Linked DNA regions of Rattus norvegicus. Each later gene encodes a partner of the first gene's protein in a complex. Links are inferred from orthologs where the notes say so. Each region holds a gene or a part of one and is shown in the gene's direction. Other genes may lie near its edges.

Evidence for each region.
Region 2: the proteins of Pak4 (region 1) and Itgb5 are in contact, whole or in part, in a crystal structure (PDB 7S46), measured with the Homo sapiens proteins. The link is inferred for Rattus norvegicus from reciprocal best matches to the Homo sapiens genes PAK4 and ITGB5. Residues at the interface, in NP_001014831.1 of Homo sapiens: Gly330, Ser331, Gln358, Arg359, Leu362, Thr404, Lys442, Ser443, Asp444, Asp458, Phe461, Leu475, Val476, Gly477, Thr478, Pro479, Tyr480, Trp481, Met482, Glu507, Glu512, Phe516, Asn517, Glu518, Pro519, Pro520, Met524; in NP_002204.2 of Homo sapiens: Ser762, Arg763, Ala764, Arg765, Tyr766, Glu767, Met768, Ala769, Ser770.
Region 3: the proteins of Pak4 (region 1) and Inka1 are in contact, whole or in part, in a crystal structure (PDB 4XBU), measured with the Homo sapiens proteins. The link is inferred for Rattus norvegicus from reciprocal best matches to the Homo sapiens genes PAK4 and INKA1. Residues at the interface, in NP_001014831.1 of Homo sapiens: Ser331, Gln358, Arg359, Glu361, Leu362, Thr404, Asp440, Lys442, Ser443, Asp444, Phe461, Leu475, Val476, Gly477, Thr478, Pro479, Tyr480, Trp481, Met482, Arg489, Glu507, Glu512, Phe516, Asn517, Glu518, Pro519, Pro520, Met524; in NP_976248.2 of Homo sapiens: Gly178, Arg179, Ser180, Arg181, Gln182, Pro183, Leu184, Val185, Leu186, Gly187, Asp188, Asn189, Cys190.
Region 4: the proteins of Pak4 (region 1) and Limk1 are in contact, whole or in part, in a crystal structure (PDB 6WLY), measured with the Homo sapiens proteins. The link is inferred for Rattus norvegicus from reciprocal best matches to the Homo sapiens genes PAK4 and LIMK1. Residues at the interface, in NP_001014831.1 of Homo sapiens: Glu329, Gly330, Ser331, Gln358, Arg359, Leu362, Thr404, Asp440, Lys442, Ser443, Asp444, Phe461, Leu475, Val476, Gly477, Thr478, Pro479, Tyr480, Trp481, Met482, Glu507, Phe516, Pro520; in NP_002305.1 of Homo sapiens: Lys505, Arg506, Tyr507, Thr508, Val509, Val510, Gly511.

Annotation. Positions count from the first base shown.
Region 1 is NC_086019.1:92,985,673-92,989,535, reverse strand, and holds part of Pak4 (serine/threonine-protein kinase PAK 4), read left to right. Parts: intron 1-850; 5' UTR 851-923; intron 924-2,592; 5' UTR 2,593-2,653; coding exon 2,654-2,857; intron 2,858-3,863. UniProt on the Homo sapiens protein: Serine/threonine-protein kinase that plays a role in a variety of different signaling pathways including cytoskeleton regulation, cell adhesion turnover, cell migration, growth, proliferation or cell survival.
Region 2 is NC_086029.1:80,404,149-80,408,011, reverse strand, and holds part of Itgb5 (integrin beta-5 precursor), read left to right. Parts: intron 1-135; coding exon 136-385; intron 386-3,863.
Region 3 is NC_086026.1:117,552,048-117,555,879, reverse strand, and holds Inka1 (PAK4-inhibitor INKA1), read left to right. Parts: upstream 1-1,314; 5' UTR 1,315-1,478; coding exon 1,479-1,529; intron 1,530-2,158; coding exon 2,159-2,956; 3' UTR 2,957-3,005; downstream 3,006-3,832. Other genes in the region: Uba7 (ubiquitin-like modifier-activating enzyme 7), read right to left, coding at 3,280-3,409. UniProt on the Homo sapiens protein: Inhibitor of the serine/threonine-protein kinase PAK4. Acts by binding PAK4 in a substrate-like manner, inhibiting the protein kinase activity.
Region 4 is NC_086030.1:27,680,038-27,683,900, forward strand, and holds part of Limk1 (LIM domain kinase 1), read left to right. Parts: intron 1-2,313; coding exon 2,314-2,520; intron 2,521-3,437; coding exon 3,438-3,543; intron 3,544-3,662; coding exon 3,663-3,829; intron 3,830-3,863. UniProt on the Homo sapiens protein: Serine/threonine-protein kinase that plays an essential role in the regulation of actin filament dynamics. Acts downstream of several Rho family GTPase signal transduction pathways.

The DNA of each region.
Region 1 (3,863 bases):
AGACTCCACACTGCACCGGGCAGCATGAGGTGTGGCACTGTTGGAGTTGTAGAGACAGGCCTTGTGCCAAGGAGGGCTGGGGAGCCTGGTGCAGAGGCCAAGGTGCTGGGACAGGCAGCAGGAAAGGCTGGAGGGAAGGGTGCATGCTGCTGCTGGTTCTGAGGCAGGAGGCTAGAAGCCAGAGGTGCCACTTCTGCCCCAGCTGTCCCAGCCCTCAGCCAGAACCCCTGGACCTGGGTCAAGCAAAGAAACTAGACCAGCTGGGAAAGCCCTGTCCAGGCCTGGGGCTGGCCGCCTGCAGGCCCCTTGGGACCAGTTGAGACAGGTTGGCTGCTGCGTCCCCACCTGCCTCTCACTTGGCTCGGCTGCCAAACCGGTTTCCCTGGCTGGCTGCCCACTAATGTTCTTCTAGTAGACTGAGCCAGTGACTCCCAAGAAAGAGAGCCATGCCTGGAGATGAGGAGACCTGGCTGGGCCCTGGACACTTGTCTGTAGCCACTTCCCCAGCTGAGTGTCTCTGGGGCTGGGTGCTGGTTCTGTGCCTGCCCAGCGCTCTGCCAGTACTGGAGAGGCAGTTGGAATGACGATGAAAGTCCTCTGGTACCCTTTGGTCCTCTGGGCCTCCTGAAGGAAGCCTCCCCTTAGCACACCTGCCATCCCTCCATGGCTGGGTAGCACTTTGTGGGCCCAGTCCCTACCAGTGTTCACTGTCACTAACTAGGGACATCTGCCCCATGTAGACCTTAGTGGGTCACAGGCTGTCTGGGTTGTCATCATGTCCCACTGTCAGCCAGAGTACAGTGGGTGTTAGTGATGGAATGACTGATGGATCTTTTTTCCTGTCTTACAGATGAGTAACTCAAAGCCTCAGGAGGAGACGTCACCCACACAAGGGTGTTTCTAGCCCAGCCACTTCAGACCAGGTCTGTATGACTCCAGGCTCTTCCCACAGGGCCAGTCTCCTGGGCAGAAGGGGCTGGTCCAAGGCAGGGAGGGTCTCAGTCCCTCGATCACCCAGGACCCAGGTAGTGAGAGGCAGAAGAGTTGTTGCAAAGCTGCCTAGTGTCTGTCGTTGCTTGAGTCTCTGTGAGGTGCCACCATCACCTTGTCCTTGAGCTGGGATGGACCCCAGGGCCTCCCACCTGCTGTATGTGCTCTGCTGCTGAGCTGTAGCCCCAGACCTTTTTATCATTTTATTTTGTGACAGTTTCACCACACTGACTATTCAGAATAGCCTGAATCCACTCTATCCGGGGAACGCTTTGAACTTGCCATGCTCCTGCCTCCTCAGGAGCTGGGATTGCAGCTACTCAGCCTGTGCTCCTGGCTGGGCTCATCTGTTGATTTTTTTGTTGTTGCTGTTGTTACAGATGTTGATTATTTTTAATTTACTTTTTAAAAATTATTAATAGTCTTTATTTTTAAATATTTAATTATTTTTTGTATATAAGTAGCTGTCTTCAGACACACCAGAAGAGGGCATCAGATCCCATTACAGATGGTTGTGAGCCACCATGTGGTTGCTGGGAATTGAACTCAGGACCTCTGGAAGAGCAGTCAGTGCTCTTAGCCACTGAGTCATCTCTCCAGCCCTAATAGTCTTAAAGTTTGTGTATGAGTGTTTTGCCTGCATATGTGTCTGGGCACCACATGTGTTGCTAATGTCCTTGAAGGTCAGAAGAGGGTGTCGTATCCCCTAGAAGTAGAGTTATAGACAGTTGTGAGCTGCCGTGTAGGAGCTGGGAATTGAACCCAGGTCCTCTGGAAGAACAGCCAGTGTTCTTACCTGCTAAGCTTTCTCTCCAGCTTCCTGCTCCCTTATTGAGGCAGGCTCTCTGTGTAGTTCTAACTAGCCTAGAACTCACTTATGTAGACCAGGCTGGCCTTGAACACACAGAAATCCACATGTCTCTGCCTCTGAGTCCTGGGACTAAAGGGGTGCGTCACCTGCCTGGCTCTCCCTTGGATTCCTGACCAGCCTTTACTGGGTATTTATGTAAGTGCCCAGTTGAAGATCCAGGCCCCAAAGTTGGAGAAGGCCACAGTGTGGAGAGGCATCCCATGTGTCTGTAGTGGCCAGACTAGAGGTGGGGACTGTTCACTGGTTGTCATTACTGGGGTTGGAGGGAGACAAAAGACACACAAGAACAAGAGCAGTCTCCCTGTCGGTGAAGGGCATCTGAAGGTGATGTGATGGCCAGCAGGCTGTGTGGTTAGAAAAGTAATCAGTAGAGACTCGGGGACCTGGAGGAGGGGAGGAGGGGAGCTCTTGGGATAACAGGCAAGGGGACTGCCTGCCTGTGCTAAAGCCCTGATGTCTGAAAGCTGATGTGAAGCTGGTGGCTGTATAGGTCTCTGGGCCACAAGGAGCTGTGGCTCTGAGGAGGAGAGAGCTGGGCCTGACCTTCTAGTTGCTCAAGAGGAACCACAAAAGTAACTGCTCAGAGGGCCCAGGAGGAGGCTGCTGCCCCCTGCTGGTCTGTGGGAGAGCTGCTGAACCAACCAGGGCAGCCTCAGAGAACGGGGAAGGTTTGAGTGACAGACAGATCACCTGCCACTGATCCCACCTCCCTTGGTGCTTCCTTCCCGCAGGTGCCTGTAAGAGCCCAGGCCACCCCACCATTCACACACTTTGTGCTAAGGTCCTGGAACCATGTTTGGAAAGAAGAAGAAGCGGGTGGAGATCTCGGCCCCATCCAACTTCGAGCACCGCGTACACACAGGCTTCGATCAGCATGAGCAGAAGTTCACAGGGCTTCCCCGCCAGTGGCAGAGCCTGATTGAGGAGTCAGCGCGCAGACCCAAGCCCCTGATCGACCCTGCTTGCATCACTTCCATCCAGCCTGGAGCCCCCAAGGTAGTCATCACCACACCACGTCTACCCCACAGCCCATGCTGACAGAGTAGCCCAGCCCTTCAGTTGCCCCTGGCCTCTTTGCAGAACCCCTTACCTCTGTAGCCCAGTGCCAGCCTTCCAGCTGCCAGTGCAGTCCTGGAAGCCCATGCTGACCTCTGACCTCCACTCCTTCTTCCCCAGCACCACACACTCAACCTTGGTCTCCCAGTGCTTCATGACATGGGAGACAGCCCACTCCCAGACAACCTCCGGGCTTGCTAGGGGATACCTAAGCTGCATTCCAAGGTCTGGGGAGCAGCTGAGGCAGATGGGAGCAGGGCAGAAGCCATCCAGTCTTAGCATCCTGAGCAAACTGTCAGTTGAAATGAGACCTGAGGTCTAGACCCAAGATCCTCACACTTCTCCCGCCTCGGTGCACAATGGGAGAATTGTGGTCTCACAGCCTAGGCAGGGACTACAGCCACGCAGGCCTAGTGATAAGAGTGCCCTGGCTGGACTCATGCCAGGGGTGGTGGGACCCAGAGGAGTGCAGCCAGAGCTGTCCCCACTGGGTGGAGTTGGGCGCGCCTGTGGTCAGCAGGCTGGGTGCCTGGCACTGCGGCTGACTCATCCTCTCCCGGTGACCAACCAGGGCCTGCTGGGAGAGATAGAGTCATCAGGGCACCTGCAGCCACAGTGCTTGGGTCCAGGCTAGGGTCTTTCTGGTTATTTCTGCGACCCTATAGGGTCATGTGAGAGCCTAGACTTCTCTCCATTGCTTAGAAAGCCCCTCTTGTCATCTGAATCTGTATGGGCCTTTCACAACCCAGGTCAGCCGGAAGCCAGTAGCTTGTGAGGTAGACCCCACCACAGTCCCCAGACAGCCCACCCTGAACACTCCCATGACCTGATGAGCTTCGTGGTCATTTTTCACAGGTTGTGTGTCCCCAAAATTTCACCCCTGCTCCATGCATTCTTCTTTTTTTTTTTTTTTAAAGATTATATTTTTATTTATTTATTATATATG
Region 2 (3,863 bases), on another chromosome or scaffold:
TAATTTTTTTGTAGGGTCAGATAAGCCCTGGGTCAGACCAGTATTCTACAGCGGGAAAAGATCTTTGAAATGAGAATCCACCATTTGCCCCAGCAAGCCACATGACCTCTAATGGGGTGACCTCTCTTGGCACAGGTGACCAGGCTACCTTCCAGCTGCAGGTACGCCAGGTGGAGGACTATCCCGTAGACCTGTACTACCTGATGGACCTCTCCCTCTCCATGAAGGATGACTTGGACAACATCCGGAGCCTGGGCACCAAGCTTGCGGAGGAGATGAGGAAGCTCACTAGTAACTTCCGGTTAGGTTTCGGGTCTTTTGTTGACAAGGACATCTCTCCGTTCTCCTACACAGCACCGAGATACCAGACCAATCCATGTATTGGGTAAGTGGTGAGCTCTCCTTCTGAGGAATTGTGGGATGAAGTAATGGGAAAATGGAACTCACTAAAGGCTAATTTAGGGGAAACATTAGGCTTAAGTATTTGATGATTTGTGATGGCCACGCCCTACATGTGAGAAAGTGTACTGTCACGGGTTGTATCACAACATAATGATCTTTTTTTTCCTTTTTAATTGCATTTTTTTAAATTTATATTTTAAACATTATCCCATTTCCTGGTTTCCCCTCCAGAAACCCGCTATCCCACCTCCCACCCCACCCTGCTTCTTTGAGGGTGCTCCCTTACCCACCCACCCACTCCTTCCTACCTCCCCACTCTAGCATTCCCTTCCACTGGGGCATCGAGCCTTGACAGGACCAAGGGCCTCCTCTCCCATTGATTCCCGACAAGGCCATCCTCTGCTACATATGTGGCTGGGGCCATGGGTCCATTCCTGTGTTCTCTTGGGATGGTGGTTTAGTCTCTGGGAGCTCTGGGGGGTCTGGTTGGTTGATACTGTGTTCTTCTTATGGGGTTGCAAACCCCTTCAGCTCCTTCAGTCCTTTCTCTAACTCCTGCATTGGGGACCCTGTTCTCAGTTCAGCGGTTGGCTGCGAGCGTCTGTCTCTGTGTTTGTGAGGCTCTGGCAGAGCCTCTCAGCAGACAGCTATATCAAGCTATGTCAGCATGCACTTCTTGTCATCTGCTATATTGTCTGGGTTTGAGTCTGTATATGGGATGGATCCCCATGTGGGGCAGTCTCTGGATGGCCTTTCAGTCTCTGCTCCTGTGAGTGTGCTTGTAGCGCCTTCTAAGAAGGACTGAAGCGTCAGCATTTTAGTCCTCCTTCTTGGTCTTCATGGGGTTTGTGAATTGTATCTTGGGTATTCCGAGCTTTCGGGCTAACATCCTTTTCAGTGAGTGCACGCCATGAGTAAAAAATAATGATCTTATGGGATGTATTTTCTTGCCTGCCTCACGTGGTTCTATTTCCCCACATTAATATAATTTAGCAAGTGTCCTTGGGGAGTCGTGGGTCCAGGTGGTCAGGGAAAGTCCAGGAGAGTGCAGTTTGTATCCTGTAGTGACTGGAGTGCACAGAGATACATAAGTTCAGGGATGGGGGATGGCTTAATTGATCAAGTACTCGCTACACAACCATGAGTAGTTAGCTGAGTTTGTAAAAGCTGTGTACTTCAGGATGCTCATGATCCCAGCACTGGTAAAGCAGAGACAGAAGGATCCTTAGGGTTTGCTGGCTGTGAATCACACAGAATTTGTGAGATCCAGTTTCAGTACGAGCCTCTATCTCAAAGGGGCATGATACAAGAAGGCACTTGCAACCAATCTCTGAGCTTTGTATGCACATGTACACATATGTGTGTGCATAACCACAAATAAATGCATTTATACATACATACATACATACATACATACATACATACATACAAAAGGATAAATGTGCTCAGAGATTGTCCCTCTTTAGGTTAGCAGCTATAATTTACTTCCGTATAACTAAATGAAAACGTCGTTTTAGTTTTAATTTTTTGTTTAATTTTAGTTTTGTATGTGTATGTGTGTACTATGTGTGTATATATCATGGCTCTTGCATAGAGGTCAGATGATGCCTTGTACAACACACAGTAAAATTGATAGCTTCTATCCTTTTCTTGCCTCATCTCCACAGTTGACCTTAATGAGTTTGTGGAATATAGGGCCCAATGTAGTCACCAGAACAGCTAAGATTCTAGTTCTCGCTAAGGGTCAGATACCATTCACACTTTTCACAAATAAACGCTTTATTGAGATTATCTCATTCCATCCCATATCGGACTCCTCAGGTCCCTACGGCTTCCAAGCCATGCTTACAGATGAGGAAGGTGAAGCCTACAGAGGATAAATACCTTTATACAGATAGCCAAGGGGTAGACTAGAGTCTGTCTTCTCATCAACACAATGACATTTTCCTCCTCCAAGATACTTTATCTGAGGTTACGTGACTGGGCACTCCCAAGCTCCCAAAAGCCCAGCAAGTCAGAGTTTACCTAAGTCTGCGGTAAGACGTCCCCAAATGTCCACAGCTAAATATCTACAAAGGTGCTCATTTGTACAAAATCTGAGGAGGGCTATATGTCATCGACTTTTGGCACTTCTCCTTCAGGGATCCAGGCCTCTTCTGTGTTATGATATCAGTTTTGATTCTTAGTCTCCTGCTGCCTCAGAGGAGGGTGTTCTTTTTAAAGACCCTGGGCTTCTCTCCACACCTTTGTAGCCTAAACAGCTCCCAGCTCCAGGGTAGGTTGGGGATTGGGTAAGGTGGGGATATCCTAGTAGCCTGCATCCTGAGTCTCCCTGGTCTTGCTAGTTTCATTTACCCATGCTGCCCTAGATCATCCTTAGGAATGAGAAACCAACATAAAGATTGAAAAACAGTAAGATAAGCCAGCTAGTCTCAGTGCATGCCCCCACACTTTTAATCCTAGTAGAGGCAGGTGGATTTTGAGGCCAGCCTAGTCTATAAAGGGAGTTGCAGGACAGCCAGAGCTACACAGAGAAACCCTATCTTAAACATAAGAAGAAGAAAAAAAGAACAGTAAGATGAACAGTTTTAAATACAGATGCATTCAAAGTTCCTTAAGCATCTCGCTATTTGCTGGTGTAGCTTTTAAAGCCACAGGTAGGGTAAGCTACATAAAGCTAGGTTATGATTATGGCTCTGAGTCTCCAAGGCCACATTCAGCTGGCTCCAGGCCACGTGTTTTATTGTTGGTGTTTTGCTACTTAATGGGAGCAACAGCATCTCAATCAAAACATTTTTGGGATTTATTGGAACAGTAATCCCATCCACTCCTTTCGGTCCCTGCCCTGATTGGGCTCCGACTCTAGTCAGACAGGGTGTGTCTGCACTCTCTGAGCTGCTGGACTGGGAGCTGGCAGAGGATCAAGGCCCAGTTTGGGTGTTTAGCATCCAAATAGTCAAGTCTATTGCACATAGATATTCAGACTTCCTACTTGAAGCCCTCCAGGCAGACACAGTGGCAGACAGTGCTGTTCTTGACTGAGAGCACAGAGCACTCTGAAAAGCTGTTCCTAAGACAGGAAATCAGTGAAGAAAGCATGTGAGGAAGGAAACTTCAAATCTAAGTCATGTAAATCTCTCTTTTGTAAGCCGGGAAGTATCAGGGCAGAGACTGCAGCTCTCCGAAGCTGGCTGAGCTTTCCACCCTGGGGAGTCTCCCTAGAGAGTCCGCTTTGCAACTTGGATGGGACAGCACAAGCCAGGGCATATAATCTAGCTGTTCCATACCAGGTCTGGGACAACACACACGTTATTTACTTTCCTGTTATAAAGGCCCCGTGAGTTAAATTACTGACATCTAAAAAATGGACACAAATGACCAGAATTTCTAGTTTTTTCTCCATTTGGTATAGAATACCCAGGCTTGCCCTGGGGAGAAAAAAGTAATGCAAGCAAGACCAG
Region 3 (3,832 bases), on another chromosome or scaffold:
CTTTGGTTGCAGGATTATTCTCCCAAAACAACTGTATCTTGCAGAAAATAGCCCTGGTCATTCACTGAAAAAAGCTCCGTGCTTTTTATAGCACCAAAAATAAAACCCAGAGACTCTCATAAATCTTGGAGGCTTGGTTTTGATGACTTCTCTCCATCCACAAACCCCTGCCCCATTCATCACACACATCCGTGTTTTCCTTTCGTTTGGTCTGCCTAACCCTTGTCCCTCGATATTCTTTACATTGGCAAACCCTTTCACCTAAAATGCCCTTCCTCACTGCACTCAAATGAATTGACCCAAGATAGGTCATATCTTTTTTTTTTTTCTTTTTTTCTGAGTTGGGGACCGAACCCAGGGCCTTGCGCTTGCTAGGCAAGTGCTCTACCACTGAGCTAAATCCCCAACCCAGGTCATATCTTTTTAAGAGTCCTATCTCTTTTTTTTTTTTTTTTTTTTTTTTTTTTCCGGAGCTGGGGACCGAACCCAGGGCCTTGCGCTTCCTAGGTAAGCGCTCTACCACTGAGCTAAATCCCCAGCCCCTTAAGAGTCCTATCTCTTAACTGAACTCATTGCCTTCATTCTCTTATATTTTGCTGTCTGCGGAAAGATCCAGTCTGTCTCCAGTTAGACTGTACCTCTGATTGTGGAGTGGCCTCAGGGGAAAGACTCTGAACATTGGAGCCAAAGAGCAGTTTTCCTTTTCCATTCCTGCACACAACCTATAGGTCAGTGGTGCAGATTGAGGATGCAGACCATAGCGACGCGATCCCCACTAGAGGGCGGTCCAGGCTATCTCGGCTCAGATCAGGCTAGAGGGATGCTGGAGGGCAGTTAGCCATGGCCCTTCCCTTACTCTCTCTGTTTTAAGGTTCTTCGCGGAGTATTCACCGGGCGGAAGGAAACTCGGTCCTATCATTTCCAGGGATAGTCAAGGCCAGCCTGGACAGACCCCGAGTGGGCCACAATATTGTCAATTGGAAGATAGGGTGCAGTGTCCAAACGTGGGCGTCGCATCGGGCCCCAGCACAAGAAACCGCTATTTCACCAGGGGACAAATTGAAAAGATGAGGTCACGGGATGAACGTACGGGGGCTGGAGGGGGTCGTGACGGAACTGCGCTACAGCAGGGTTAGCTAAAGTTTTTGAGACGTGAAGGGTCCTGAGCTGCACTCGGAGCTCACGAGCTTCTACAGCCAGGCTCCACCAGCAGAGCTAGGCTGGAGGGCGGGGCTGAAAGGGGCAGGGCATCTTCAGCTCGCCCCGCCTCCATTGGCTAGGGTACCGGGGGCGGGGCGGGGCGCGGCTGCCAGATGTTGGGGCGGCAGCGGCCGGAGCTACTGAGGGAGTAAGGAGCCTTGGAGTAAGGCAAGGGTGAGGACGCCACTAGCGGGCCGACTCGGCCCACTCTGCGCCGCTCCCGCGGGTGATCGGCGGTGAGCGGGCGGACCTGGAGAGTGTTCAGCACCAGCACCAACATGCACAGCGCTCGGCTTGACAGTTTCCTGAGCCAGCTCCGCTGGGAACTGGTGAGTCTTTAGAGTGGGTGTGGTTGTGAAGATGTGTGTGGAGTGCGTGGCTGCCGCCTGGCTGGAACAACAAACGGCAACGGGGTGGACTCCGGGTGCCCATCAGAGTCAGGATGGGGGCAGGGTAGTGCGCTACAGATGGCCCAGATGGCCCGCTTCGGGTTTCTGACGGTTGGGAACTGTTCTGGGCATCAGGTAACAGGCGCCCAGCTGGCCGTGCCGGCCGCAGAGAGGCGGGGGAGGAGAGTTGGGGAAAGAAGTTTCTTTTGGGGACCGTCAGGGAGCACCCAAGGCCTAAAGAAGTGCTGTGCTGCTGTGGACATCCCCTACCATGGGCTGGCCTGTACCTCCTTCCTCCACTCTGCCTGCCCGCCCTGGTGGCGCGTGCTGACTTGCCCGGCCCTGCGTGCTGCAGCCTGCCGGACTGCCACCAGCTCTGTGGATGGGAGCCACATGAGCCTCGAGTGCCAGTGCCCCCATGTGGGCCCTGCGCTTACAGTTCTGCCTTGCTGCCCAGAGGATTTTCAAATCCTTCTGAACCCTCCTTTCTCAGAGCTGGCTTGGTTAGACACTACGGGGTCAGGGACTAAGAAATCCCTGTCCAACATTTGCCCTATCTTTCTCTCCAGTTGTGTGCTCGGGACACAGCCTCACCTCCAATGCCTGGCCCACTGCAACCAAAACCTAAAACTGATCAAAATATACAGCCCAAGCGCCGGTTCAGGGCCTCCGATGTTTTGGAAGAGGACTCTGTCTGCTGTGTAGAAGAGGAAGAGGAGGAAGGCTTGGTAGCAGAAGACAGGGGTGCACCGCTGGGGTGTCCTAGGGAACATGCCCTAGATTGGGACTCTGGCTTCTCAGAGGTGTCAGGCAGTACATGGCGAGAAGAAGAGCTGTCTGTACCCCGGCGCCAGGCACCCCCAGAACGTCCACCTCATAGCCAGCGTTTCTCAGTGAGTGACCTCCCCGTGCGCAGTAGGGCAGCTGTAACCAACATACCTCCTGCCCACCGTCCAAGGCCCAAGTCCACCCCTGATGCTTGCCTGGAACACTGGCAGGGATTGGAAGCAGAGGACTGGACGGCAGCCCTGCTGAACAGGGGCCGCAGTCGGCAGCCCCTGGTGCTAGGGGATAACTGTTTTGCTGATTTAGTTCACAATTGGATGGAGTTGCCCGAAGCGACCAGTGAAGGAAGTGATGGAGATGTTCCCCGAGCCCGTGCTCGACCCCCCCAGTTCCTGCTTGGTCTCTCTGAGCAGCTACGGCGTAGGTTGGCCAGGGCTCGACGGACAGCTATGGCAGGCAAGAGGTTGTCATGCCCACCTCGCCCAGAACCTGACCTGCCTGCGGACATTTCACGATTTGCAGCCCTCATGAACTGTCGAAGCCGCCAACCTATTATCTACAATGATGTCAGCTACCTCTGACCCTGCCCTCCAGCTAGAGACAATAAAGTTTTTTGGTTTTTTTTCTAAACTGCTGGTTCCATACTCCTGAGGCTTTAGGAAGTGTCCCCATCCCCGTGAAGCACAACTAAGACAGGCCAGTCTAGAACCTTCCCTCTCTCTTCCCCAGGTTCCCATATCACCCATATCATATTACCCATATCACCCTTGTTTGCTCTACCATCCACTCCACTTGTGCCTTCCTTCAACAAGCTTTTATTGTTGAAGTATCCGCTGTGGGCTGAAGATGCAGGAATTGTATGCAGAGTTCGTGATGGCCAAGTGGTGGCGTGGTGGCCACCTCATCACAGCTCATAATGCAGAGGTGGGAAGGCCATTTCGTCATCCTCACCCTCACAGCTCAGCTCAAACACCAGAACTCTCAGCCCAGGCTTGGGTTTCTGGCCGGTCACCTGCTGAACTAGTTCTGTCACCCTGGTATGGGAAGGGGTTTGGGGAGATTTTGTAGGTGAGCAGAGGCAGACAGAGTGTGGACCTAGTGTGGACCAGAGGGCACTGGTGAGCCCTCAAGAGCCTCAACCAGGAGCATGAGCGGCTCAAGGCAGGAAACATCTGAAACTATTTTAGGAGCAGCTGGTGGGGCAGGCAAGAGGCAGGAAGCTGTGTGTCCCTTGAGAGTAGGCTGTGAAGGGAGATGGGGGCTGGGCAGGGTACAGGGAGCCAAGGGGGCTGGCCAAGCAGACAGCTACCGAAGTCCCCTTCCTCAGGCTCTTAGCTCCGCCCCCAACCCCCCAGGCCCATTTGTTGGCTCCATTTGGTAGAAGAATGCCTCAAGAAGGTGTGAGGGGCCTAAAATGGGGTTGAGAAAAAGACCTTGTCGCCCATCCTCAACATCCA
Region 4 (3,863 bases), on another chromosome or scaffold:
GGCTGGGGGCGTGGCTCAGTGGTAGAGCCCCTGCCTAGAATCCCCCAGTGAGGGGCTGGGGGCGTGGCTCAGTGGTAGAGCCCCTGCCTAGAATCCCCCAGTGAGGGGCTGGGGGTGTGGCTCAGTGGTAGAGCACCTGCCTAGAATCCCCCAGTGAGGGGCTGGGGGCGTGGCTCAGTGGTAGAGCACCTGCCTAGAATCCCCCAGTGAGGGGCTGGGGGCGTGGCTCAGTGGTAGAGCCCCTGCCTAGAATCCCCCAGGGAGGGGCTGGGGGCGTGGCTCAGTGGTAGAGCCCCTGCCTAGAATCCCCCAGGGAGGGGCTGGGGGCGTGGCTCAGTGGTAGAGCCCCTGCCTAGAATCCCCCAGTGAGAGGCTGGGGGCGTGGCTCAGTGGTAGAACCCCTGCCTAGAATCCCCCAGTGAGGGGCTGGGGGTGTGGCTCGGTGGTAGAGCCCCTGCCTAGAATCCCCCAGGGAGGGGCTGGGGGCGTGGCTCAGTGGTAGAGCACCTGCCTAGAATCCCCCAGTGAGGGGCTGGGGGCATGGCTCAGTGATAGAGCCCCTGCCTAGAATCCTCCAGTGAGGGGCTGGGGGCGTGGCTCAGTGGTAGAGCCCCTGCCTAGAATCCCCCAGGGAGGGGCTGGGGGCGTGGCTCAGTGGTAGAGCCTCTGCCTAGAATCCCCCAGGGAGGGGCTGGGGGTGTGGCTCAGTGGTAGAGCCCCTGCCTAGAATCCCCCAGGGAGGGGCTGGGGGTGTGGCTCGGTGGTAGAGTACCTGCCTAGAATCCCCCAGTGAGGGCTAGAGTGTGACTCAGCAGTAGAGGGCTTCCATGTCATTAGTAAGGCTCTATGTTCATTTCTGAGTATGAAAGAAAGAAGATAGACAGACAGACAATGACTGAAACCAAAAGTGCCCCGACACCAGCTCCCTTCCTTCTGCTTCTGCAGTGTTACTGTGTCTCTAGCCACAGAGCTGACACAGATCCCACAAGCTACAGATACCATCCCCAGCAGGTCTGTTCCTGCTCCAGACACCAGCTGCGCACTCAGGCATCCCCAGGCCCTCACACACTTCAGGCAACTGCGTTCCAGTCCAGTGACCCCAGGTTTGAGGGTGTGCTGTGTAACCAACTCACAGAACTCCACATGGTGCTGCGGGTCACAGCCGCACCAAGCGAGGGCACCTTCCACCTCTCCCAGCCCATCTTAGGTTTACTAACTGGGATGCCACTGAGGCCACGCCTCCAGGGATTCCACTGAGGTTTTAAGGCATTGGTCTCTAGCCTGCTCCTGGGAATCCAGGCTGGCCAGAAGCCCCAAGCCTTCAGTCAGGGTCAGTAACTGTGGAACCAGCCCTGATGTGACTCATTTGCATAGACTCAAGTGTCCTCCAGAGGGCTCATAAATAACAAAGATCCCCCTGTTCCAAGGACTTCGAGTCCTTCTCCCCAGAGCCAGAGACAAAACCAGACAGATTCTCTCTTCGGAAACACCAGCAAAACTGGATTCGAAAACATCAGACCCGATCCCAAATGGGTTTTTAATGACTTCCTCCCTAAGGAGACGTATCCGTTAGGGCCTCGCCTTATCTTGGCCATCTGACAGTATCACCGGATAGACAGAGCCAAAATGGGGCCAGTGAGATGGCTCAGTGGGTAAAGGCGCTTGCTGCCAAGCCTAACGAACCTGAATTCCATCCCCAGGACCCACAGGGTGGAAAGAGAGAACTGACTCACAAATTGTCCTCTGACCTCCATACTCTCTCCGTGGCATGTGTAGTCCCCTCACCCCTAAGCCCATACACACACACACACAAAAATAATAAATGTAATTAAAAGAAGTAACAGTCTGATGAGATGGCTCGGCAGGTAAAGGCATTAACCACTAAGCTTTACAACCTTAGTTTAATCCCCAGGACCATAACGGAAGGAGAAAACTGATTTCTGCAAATTGTTTTTTAGTCCCCATATATATTGGCATACATCTCATTGAGCAAACACACACAAAAATAAATGTAAAAAAAAATGATTGGGGTTGGAGATTTAGATTCAGTGGTAGAGAGCTTGCCTAGGAAGCGCAAGGCCCTGGGTTCGGTCCCCAGCTCCGAAAAAAAGAACCAAAAAAAAAAAAAAAAAAAAAAAAAGATTAACTTGAATAACAGAACCAGAGTTAGGGGTGCTGAGACAACTGGGCATGCCCAGTCCTGCCCTGTGTCCCACCAGCTTGCTGTGGGCTGCAGAGCAGCATTCCTGACTTCTCCCCTGATGCTCTCTTCTTCCTTTCTCTTTGGATCGGCACCGCCGATGACCCTCATAGCGGGCAGTGCTACTACCAGACTGTGGTAACTCCAGTCATCGAACAGATCCTCCCTGACTCACCCGGCTCCCACCTGCCCCACACAGTCACCCTCGTGTCTATCCCAGCCTCTGCTCATGGCAAACGAGGCCTGTCTGTCTCCATCGACCCCCCTCACGGCCCACCAGGATGTGGCACGGAGCATTCGCACACGGTCCGAGTCCAAGGGTGAGTGGGCTGCCACGCTGGGTGGGGCCCTGTTGTAGCGACCTGGTTCTATTAGCTCTCTGCTGCTGTGACAGGATACCTGACACAAACAACCTGAGTGGGGAGAGATTGGTCTTAGCTCACGGTTCGGAGGGCTCTAGTCACTGAGTCAGGTTATTCAGGCCCAAAACACCCAGGTACTAGAAGCAGGAGGAACTGAGATCGCTCCCCCAGAACCCATTTTTACAAAATCCAGGGGCTGTCAACATGGCTTGTCAGATAAAGATGCTTGCCACCAAGGCTGACTGACATATTGAGTTTCATTCCCAGGTCCCACAAGGAAAACCAACTATCTTCTGATTGACAGACAGACAGACAGACAGACACATACACACACACACACACACACACACACACACACACACACCGACAAAGAAACAGACCTGAAAGAAGAAGGGGATCCATGCGAGTGGGAGGGGAACAGGAGGGGTGGAGGGGAGTGTGATCAAATGCACTACGTAGTGTATGAAGGCGCCGTAGTGAAGCCTGTGGTTGACATAGTTAATAGATGTAATAGTAAGACAGAACTGGAGCTGGAGAGATGGCTCAGCGGTTAAGAGCACCGGCTGTTCTTGCAGAGGACCAGGGTTCGGTTCCCAGCAACCACCTGGCGGCTGACAACCTTCCAGCTCCAGACACCTCCAGGCCACCAGGCATGCATGCATGTGGTACATAGATGTACACGCAGACAAAACGCCTGCGTAAAGTCTTTTATTTGGTTATAGGTAACAACTAAAACCACAGTATTCTGCGATTTCCACCTCAGGTGGTATCGTTCCTTCCCACCCCACACCTGGTGCCCTTGGCTTTTGGTTTCCTCTTGGGGCTCAGGGGCACAGGTCGTAGGAGAACTCGTCTAACCATGCCTTTATCCCCAGAGTGGACCCGGGCTGCATGAGCCCGGATGTGAAGAATTCCATCCACATCGGAGACAGGATCTTGGAAATCAACGGCACGCCCATCCGGAATGTGCCGCTGGACGAGGTAGGACCACAGAATCAGACAGATCCGAGGCTGGGCAGGATGGAATGGTGGAAATAGAAGCTTCACCCCTGAGCTCTGTTGCCACCTCAGAAGACTCACCTGTCCACACCTGTCCCCAGATCGACTTGCTGATCCAGGAGACCAGCCGCCTGCTCCAGCTGACCCTCGAGCACGACCCCCATGACTCACTGGGCCATGGGCCAGTGTCGGATCCCAGCCCCCTGGCCTCCCCGGTACACACTCCCAGCGGACAGGCAGGCAGCTCTGCCCGGCAGAAACCTGTCTTGTAAGTCAACCTGTTCCTCAGCTCCTCTAACACG